Linked DNA regions of Elephas maximus indicus. The protein of the gene in region 1 purifies or fractionates together with the protein of each later gene. This does not show direct contact. Links are inferred from orthologs where the notes say so. Each region holds a gene or a part of one and is shown in the gene's direction. Other genes may lie near its edges.

Region 1 (3,746 bases):
TAACTAGGATAGGTGGATAGGTGGGGAATCAGACCATTCCTGAGGCTCTCTGTAACTCAGCTTTTTTTATCTTTAAAATGGAGATGTTGTCTGCTTTGCTTGGGAAAACATAAAAATATGAAACAGTTAACATGGTTAGCTGCTAGCCAAAAGATTGGTGGTTTGAGTCCACCCAACGGTGCCTCAGAAGAAAGGCCTGGCAATCAACGTCTAAAAAACCAGGCGTTGAAAACCCTATGGAGCACAGTTCTACTCTGACACATATGGGGTCACTGATCAGTTGGAACTGATTAGACAGCAGATGGTTTTTGGTTTTAGCAGCAGAGCGACCCTGGTTTCAAAACTGTCACCATCACATAATAGCAACATGACCTTTAACTTACTTCACTTCTCTGGACTCATTATCCCTACATTAAAAAAAAAAAAAAGGTGTTAAGCTACATTATAGGGTTCTCAAAGTGTGGTCGAGGGTCCCTAAGATTCTTTCAGAATGCGAAGTGCAAACCTGTTTGCAAAATAATATTCAGAAGCTATTTCCATCTTTCACTCTTATTTTCTCCTGAGTGTACCGTTGTTGTTGGGTGTCCTCTAATGGTTTCCAACTCATACTGACCTGATGTGACAAGCAGAACGGCCCCACAGGGTATCCTTGGCTATAATCTTTATAAAGCAGGTTTTTCTACCGTGGAGCCACTGGAACCGACAACTTTCGGTTAGCAGCCCGGTCGCTTAAGTTTTCAAAAGGCTATATGATCATCACTCTAATAATATCTTGTAGTGGATTTATTACTGTTATTTTTAAACGAATAAATATATTTAATTTTTTTCTTAGTTTTAATTTCTTAAAAGTAGATAGATATAACTCACATTAAAAAAAAAAGGGGGGGGTGGGTCTTTAAGGTCCTAATAATTAAAGAGTGTAGAGGGATTCAGACGCCAAAAACTCTGAGAAGCAGCGAACCGGATTTCTAGAAGATCTTCAAGGTCATTTATTCACTCAACAAATAATTGTCAAGCGCCTACTATAAAAAAAAATTTTTTTTTTTTTTACTATGGCCAGGCATTTTTTAGACACCGAGGATATAAGCTGGTGATGAAGACTCCAGACATGGCCCCTGCTCTGATGTTTATTTTGGGAGACAAGCTTTGGAAAGTGGTCCGTTTAGTGAAGGCCTAAAACAGGGCACGTGGTTCCTGCAGTCTGTGCGCCTAACGTGACACGGTAACAATAGGACTGCCCGACCCCCCCCCCAGTCACCTGGCGGGCTCCCCCGCTGCCCCAGGGCGGGGAGGCGGGGACTAAGGCCCCACCCCCGCGCCGACGAAGAGTGACGTCACCAGACCTCGCCAGCCAATCGTGGGCGGCCCCGAGCGGAGGCCCGGAGTAGCCCACGGCCTGCGGGTGGCGCTGTGGCCCGTCGGGCGGCCCCACGGAGCCGCCATAGCAGTCCTCCTCCGGCGGCCCAACGTCTCCGCCGCCGGCTTCGCGCCGCGGTCATGGCCGACGTGGAAGACGGCGAGGATTCCGGCGTCCTCTCCTCTCACTCCGGGAGCGCAGGCTCCAAGTCGGGGGGCGACAAAATGTTCTCCCTCAAGAAGTGGAACGCGGTGGCCATGTGGAGCTGGGACGTGGAGTGCGATACGTGCGCCATCTGCAGGGTCCAGGTGATGGGTAAGCGCTGCACGCGAGACGCGGGCCGCGCTGCGGCCTCCGCGGGCGGCCGGGCGGGCCCGAGGCCTCGGAAAGACCCCTGCCGGCGTGGGCGGGGGTCGGCCTGCCCCGGGGCGGTGGGACCCGGGCCACGCCGGTGCGGCTGCTGGTCCCAGGACGGTGGTCGCCTTCTCTGGGGCTGCCGGGTCGTCCAGCAGGCGCCCAGCGCCGGGTGCGGGGTTGGGGGGAGTATTCTAGCGAGGGAGGCCGGCAGTCAGCGAGTGGAAGAACAAACAAAAGTCGTTTCAAGTGGTTGTTGTTAGTTGCAGTGGAGTCCATTCAGACTCGTGGCGACTTCATGTTTGCAGAGTAGAACTGCTCCATAGAGTTTTCCAGGCTGTGAGCTTTCGGAAGCAGATCGCCAGGCCTTTCTTCCGAGGCGCCTCTACGTGGGCTTGAACCGCCAAACTTTAGGCTTGTAGTCGAGGACCAGGAGAATAAAATCGGGTGACTTAATGGGAGCTGGGAGGAACCGCCTCGGTTTGTGTGCCCAGCCCCAGTCCCATCTCTAAAAGCAAAACCGGAAAGGGGTCAGGGTAAAGGCCCTGATTCAGGAGAACTTTGATGGTTCTGGTCACACACCAAAGTGATACTCTAGAGTCATCTTCCACGTGAGCAACGCCCTCCGTCCTGCTCCTGAGAAGCGCAGAAAAGAGAAGTCTTCCCAGACATTGCGTTTCCGGATGAGGGCGAGTCGGATGGAATCGTTCGGCATGAAGGGAATACAGTGTAGTTCAAGAATGTTCGTGTTTCATGGGAATTGAGGACTCTAAGTCCGCTCTTCAGGGACAGTGCTTCTACTCCAATAATAAATGCATGTGGGCTAGAGAGGGAAAACGTGACCTCTGCCCTCCCTTCGCGCCTCCCCCGCCCCATCGTAGAATGCCATTTCCGAGATGTGCCCCCCTCTGACTCATGCCTTTGTGGAAAATCTCTTTCAGAAATACGTCTTAACCTCTTTCTGTGACATGTTCAATAAAAATATTGGACCAAGGGAAACCTGCAACAACTTAATCCGGTTTTATTTTATATGGTTTCGGTTTTAAGGTCTTCGACTACCTTGCAGCAGAGGTGCTGTTTAAATTTAAATGCAAGTTACGTTTGTAAATAGGGCATTTAAAATTACTGTCATAGCACCTTAAATGTTTCTTCGGGGTAGGTGAAAAAATCTGAGGTTTCTATGGTTTGAAAACTGGCTTGTCCTGAAAATGAGAGAATTGGAGAAAATAACTTAAAATTTCTTTTCCTTCAAAAACAAAAAAGAGTAGAACATGGTTATGTTTAATACATAACCTCTATCCGACCAAAACATCACGGTGAAATAAAGGGGGAAAAACATATTTCATGTGCAGTGCATGACTATGAAAAGGTAAACATAAAAAAAAACGTACTTAATCATAAATGAGCTCTCAGAAACAAGTAACAAAAACCTCAATTTATGTCCTCTTTTTTTTTTAGTATGCGTTTTTTATTCATAAGGGCTTGTTTCGAAAAGAATTTACAACACTGGGAATCAAAATGTTACTTTTTACTTTTGAAAAAACTTGATTTTAGACATGATCTGCTTACTTGGATGTTGGATTTAAAAGCATCTAGCTTGTTTGCCTGGAACACCCCTTCACCCCCACCCCTCCCCGCAGATACACACCTTACGTACTAGAATCACAGCTTCCCGTTGAGGTGACATTTTTAACTGATCCAAGCAACTTACACATCTCATCTTTTACAGAACAAGCTTTGCTAAAAATTTTATCCCATAGGTTTCCACTAGGGTAAAAAGAATTTATCTCTAAAAAAGCTGTTTTTTCCCAGAAGAAATTTTTAAAAATAGCAAATGGAAATGGAGAAACCTAAAATAATCAAAGTGCAACAAATAAATTTTACTGGTCTTTTTATAGTAGGTCAAAGTATGGGTTATAAATGGCTCAAATTCATCGTTAACTTTCCAATTACAGCAAGTATTCCGCTACTGCAGGAGTGATGCTGAAGGTTTGTAACAGCTCTACTTCGGGTTCAGGGACGTATTCTAGACTAG
Region 2 (3,746 bases), on another chromosome or scaffold:
GAAGCATGGAGAGACTATGTCTTACATACTTTGGACATGTTGTCAGGAGAGATCAGTGCTTGGAGGAGGACATCATGCTTGGCAAAATAGGGAGTCAATGAAAAAAAGGAAGACCCTCAACGAGATGGATTGACACAGTGGTTGTTGCAACAATGGGCTCAATCATAATGATTGTGGGCATGGCGCAGGACCAGGCAGTGTTTCTGTTGTGCACAGGTTCGCTATGAGTCCGAATCAACTTGACAGCACCTAACAACAACATTACCTCTGTTTTACAGAGGCAACAGCCATGGGGAGGTTATGTAATTTGTGCAAGGTTGCATGCATACTGGCCCTTAGGTATTCACACCCAGTTGATCTGGCTCCAAAGTTGGCATCCTTCACCACTGTACTATACTGTTCTCTATAGAGTTGGAACTCAGTAAATGTTGATAATGACAGTTACACTTAGTGAGTACATATTATGTACCAGGCTGTCTGTGCTAAATGCTTTATATGGATTATTCAACTCGACAATAACCCTATGAAGTAAACAACATCATTTTCCCATTTTACAAAACAGGAAACAGGTTTAGAGAAGTCTAGCAGTCTCCCCAAGGTCGCACAGCTAATTAGTGGCATAGCTTCATTCAAAACCATGCTCCTAATCACTGCACTACACCAAATGAGACCAGCAGTTCAGGAACGGATTGACGTCCAGTATGAAGACTAGAACATCATGGAGCAGATGACATCTGAAGTTCAGAGAACCTGAAACATAAGAGTTTAGAACTTCAGACACGGCACAGGCTGACCCACAACCCGGGGCAGAAACAGACCACCCCAGAAGCAGTGACCCAGAATCGCAGAGAAATAAAAATTGTTGTTAAACACACGGAAGTCCCTCCTCGGCCCATGCCCTTTCGCCCCCAGGGGCTCAGAAGTTGGTTGCCCGGAGGTGACTCAAAGGTCTTGAAGATAAGAGAACAGACCCTCAGGGATCCAGCTTTGACCACGACATCAAAGGGTTAATTCCGAACCTTTATCGCCAAGGTGCCGACTCCGATGAGGCAAGGGATAGGTTAACTGCCCCGGTGTGCCTCCCCCGCGGGGGCGGGACCACGGGGCGGTGCGCGGCGCGGAGCGGTGATCAGAGGGTTAACCGCCTCGGAGGTTCACCCGCGTGGGTGGGGTCTCGGGGCGCAGTGTGTCTTCCGCAGCTGCGACCGCAGTGTTAACCGCTGCGGAGGGGACCTCGCGGGTGCAGTGTCTCGGGGAGGGGCGCGGCGAGGAGAGGGTTAACCGCCCCCGGATGGCCCCGCCCGTGGGCGGGGGCGGTGCCTAGGGGCGGGGCGCGGGCTGGGGGCGGTGCTGGAGGCGGAAGCGGCCGGCTGTCTGCGCCCGGCGCGCATCTGCTGCCCTCGGATCTGCTCGTCCCGAGGGCCAGCTATTTACGGGGCTGGAAAATTGACCGAGGTTCGGAGGCGATGACCGGGATGCGGGAGGGCAAGGGGGACGGTGGGGGGTGCCCATGGAGAGGCCCAAAGGGAGCGAACTGGCGAGAGCCTCGAGATCTGATGAGGGATGAGGGCAGGGTGAGGAATGGGCCTTGGAGCCCTGGGGGAGCAGAGGAGGAGCAGACAGTGGGCAAACATGGGGCCAAAAGAGGGCGGATGAATGGATGGGGTGCCTGGGTGAGGTGAGGCGCCCCCGCCAGGATTTCGCGGTTCACATCTTCTCTTCCAACTCCGCTCCAGGTCAGCCCCGAATTGGAGCTCAACTTTAAGAAGAGAGACACCCCAGCAAGACTGGGGAGTCTCCCAACTCCTCACCTCCATGGGCCAGTCGGCCCTGGCAGGGGGCAGCAGCAGCACCCCTACCCCACAGACCCTGTACCCTGACCTCTCTTGTCCCGAGGGCTTGGAGGAGCTGCTGTCTGCGCCCGCTCCTGACCTGGGGGCCCAACGGCGCCACGGCTGGAACCCCAAGGACTGCTCAGAGAACATCGAGGTCAAGGAAGGGGGATTGTGCTTTGAGCGGCGGCCCGTGGCCCAGAGCACTGATGGGGCCCGGGGTAAGCGAGGCTACTCGAGGGGCCTGCACGCTTGGGAGATCAGCTGGCCCCCGGAGCAGAGGGGCACCCATGCCGTGGTGGGCGTGGCCACGGCCTTCGCCCCGCTGCAGGCTGACCACTATGCGGCGCTGCTGGGCAGCAACAGCGAGTCGTGGGGCTGGGACCTTGGGCGCGGAAAGCTGTACCATCAGAGCAAGGGGCCAGGGGCCCCCCAGTATCCAGCCGGCCCTCAGGGTGAACAGTTGGAGGTGCCAGAGAGGCTACTTGTGGTTCTGGACATGGAGGAGGGAACTCTGGGCTACGCTATTGGGGGCACCTACTTGGGGCCAGCCTTCCGCGGACTGAAGGGCAGGACCCTCTATCCGGCAGTAAGCGCTGTCTGGGGCCAGTGCCAGGTTCGCATCCGCTACCTGGGCGAAAAGAGAGGTGAGGCCTGGGGCAGGTGCTGGGAAGAGGGTTCTGTCACAGGTGGCAGTGAATTGGGATAGGAGCTCAACGTCTGACAAGAGGGTGGGCCTTCATCTGGGCTGCCTCCTATCCGTATTCCGCGCTAGGCTTGGCTAAGGGATGTTGCTTAATTTAATCCTCCCAAACAACAACGAGGTAAAACTGAGGCTTGAAAAAGCAACTTGCTCAAGTTCTCTTGGCTAGTAAGTGGTGAAACCTCAAAATGGAGGGAGTCGCTCCAGGGATTAGACTTTATAGGAAACGTCAGCCCCTGGAGCAAGAGATGCAAGGGTTAAATGGGGTTGGGAGAGGTGTACAGGTTCCAAAGGAAGAGAGGGCTGGCAAGGCCAGGCACCCAGGGTGTATACAGATTACCTGGGTTCTGACCCATCTTTGACGCATACCTACTTCCTTCCTCAGTAGAACCTCCAGAATGGAGCTGTGGGGCCCTGGGCACCAGGAAGGAGCACAGAGGAGGCAGGCCTTGGGGAGGAGCCTCCTTGGAGGCAAGGGCTTGGGACTGATCGAAGTTAGCCTTTCTCTGAGTTTGCAGTCTCCAGCAGAACTTAGATGCCTCTTCTCCCATCACCAGTGGCAAGCTTCTATAGGATGGAGGACCATCCTTCCTTTACATAGCCCCAGCTCCGAGGCACCTCAGGAATCAAAGCCTGGCTAGCTCCACCACTGTTGGAGCCACCTTGGCCTGTTGCTTTCAGGGCCTTAGCTAGAGCTTTATTACCAGCTCTGATTGGGAATGTGTGACATCTAGCTGTGATGCCCTACCCCCAAGAGCAGATGCAGAATTCTAGGGTGCCTTAGGTTTCCCTCTCAGTCAAAGTGGGAGCAAGTTTAGAGCAGGAAAGCAGAAGGGAACCTGGGCAGGGCCCTGTAGTTTGAAAATGTCTGGCTGGTGCTGCATCTCTACTTACCTTCCCCTCCTTCTCTCCCAGCGGAACCACACTCCCTGCTCCACCTGAGCCGCCTGTGTGTACGCCACTCCCTGGGGGATACCCGTCTTGGCCAGGTATCTGCTCTGCCCCTACCCCCTGCCATGAAGCGCTACCTGCTCTACCAGTGACCCCTGTGCTACCAGACAGTGCAGGGAGGCCTTGCCACCACCCACCCTGTGGAGGATGGGAAGCCGGGCATTGCTGGCCTAGACCAGCTACTTAAAACCAGTGAGGCTGGGGGAAGGTGAGGCTGGGCCCCTACCCCAACATTCCCAACGTTCTGGGGAGCTCAACCA

Evidence for each region. The genes of interacting proteins can lie anywhere in the genome.
Region 2: the proteins of RNF7 (region 1) and SPSB2 purify together in Homo sapiens (co-immunoprecipitation; 3 studies listed by BioGRID and IntAct, with this or other methods). This does not show direct contact. The link is inferred for Elephas maximus indicus from reciprocal best matches to the Homo sapiens genes RNF7 and SPSB2.

What each region holds. Positions count from the first base shown.
Region 1 is NC_064841.1:17,959,010-17,962,755, reverse strand, and holds the start of RNF7 (RING-box protein 2), read left to right. Parts: upstream 1-1,390; 5' UTR 1,391-1,497; coding exon 1,498-1,672; intron 1,673-3,746. UniProt on the Homo sapiens protein: Catalytic component of multiple cullin-5-RING E3 ubiquitin-protein ligase complexes (ECS complexes), which mediate the ubiquitination and subsequent proteasomal degradation of target proteins.
Region 2 is NC_064822.1:63,670,652-63,674,397, reverse strand, and holds the start of SPSB2 (SPRY domain-containing SOCS box protein 2), read left to right. Parts: upstream 1-1,346; 5' UTR 1,347-1,455; intron 1,456-1,736; 5' UTR 1,737-1,815; coding exon 1,816-2,479; intron 2,480-3,450; coding exon 3,451-3,578; 3' UTR 3,579-3,746. UniProt on the Homo sapiens protein: Substrate recognition component of a SCF-like ECS (Elongin BC-CUL2/5-SOCS-box protein) E3 ubiquitin-protein ligase complex which mediates the ubiquitination and subsequent proteasomal degradation of target proteins.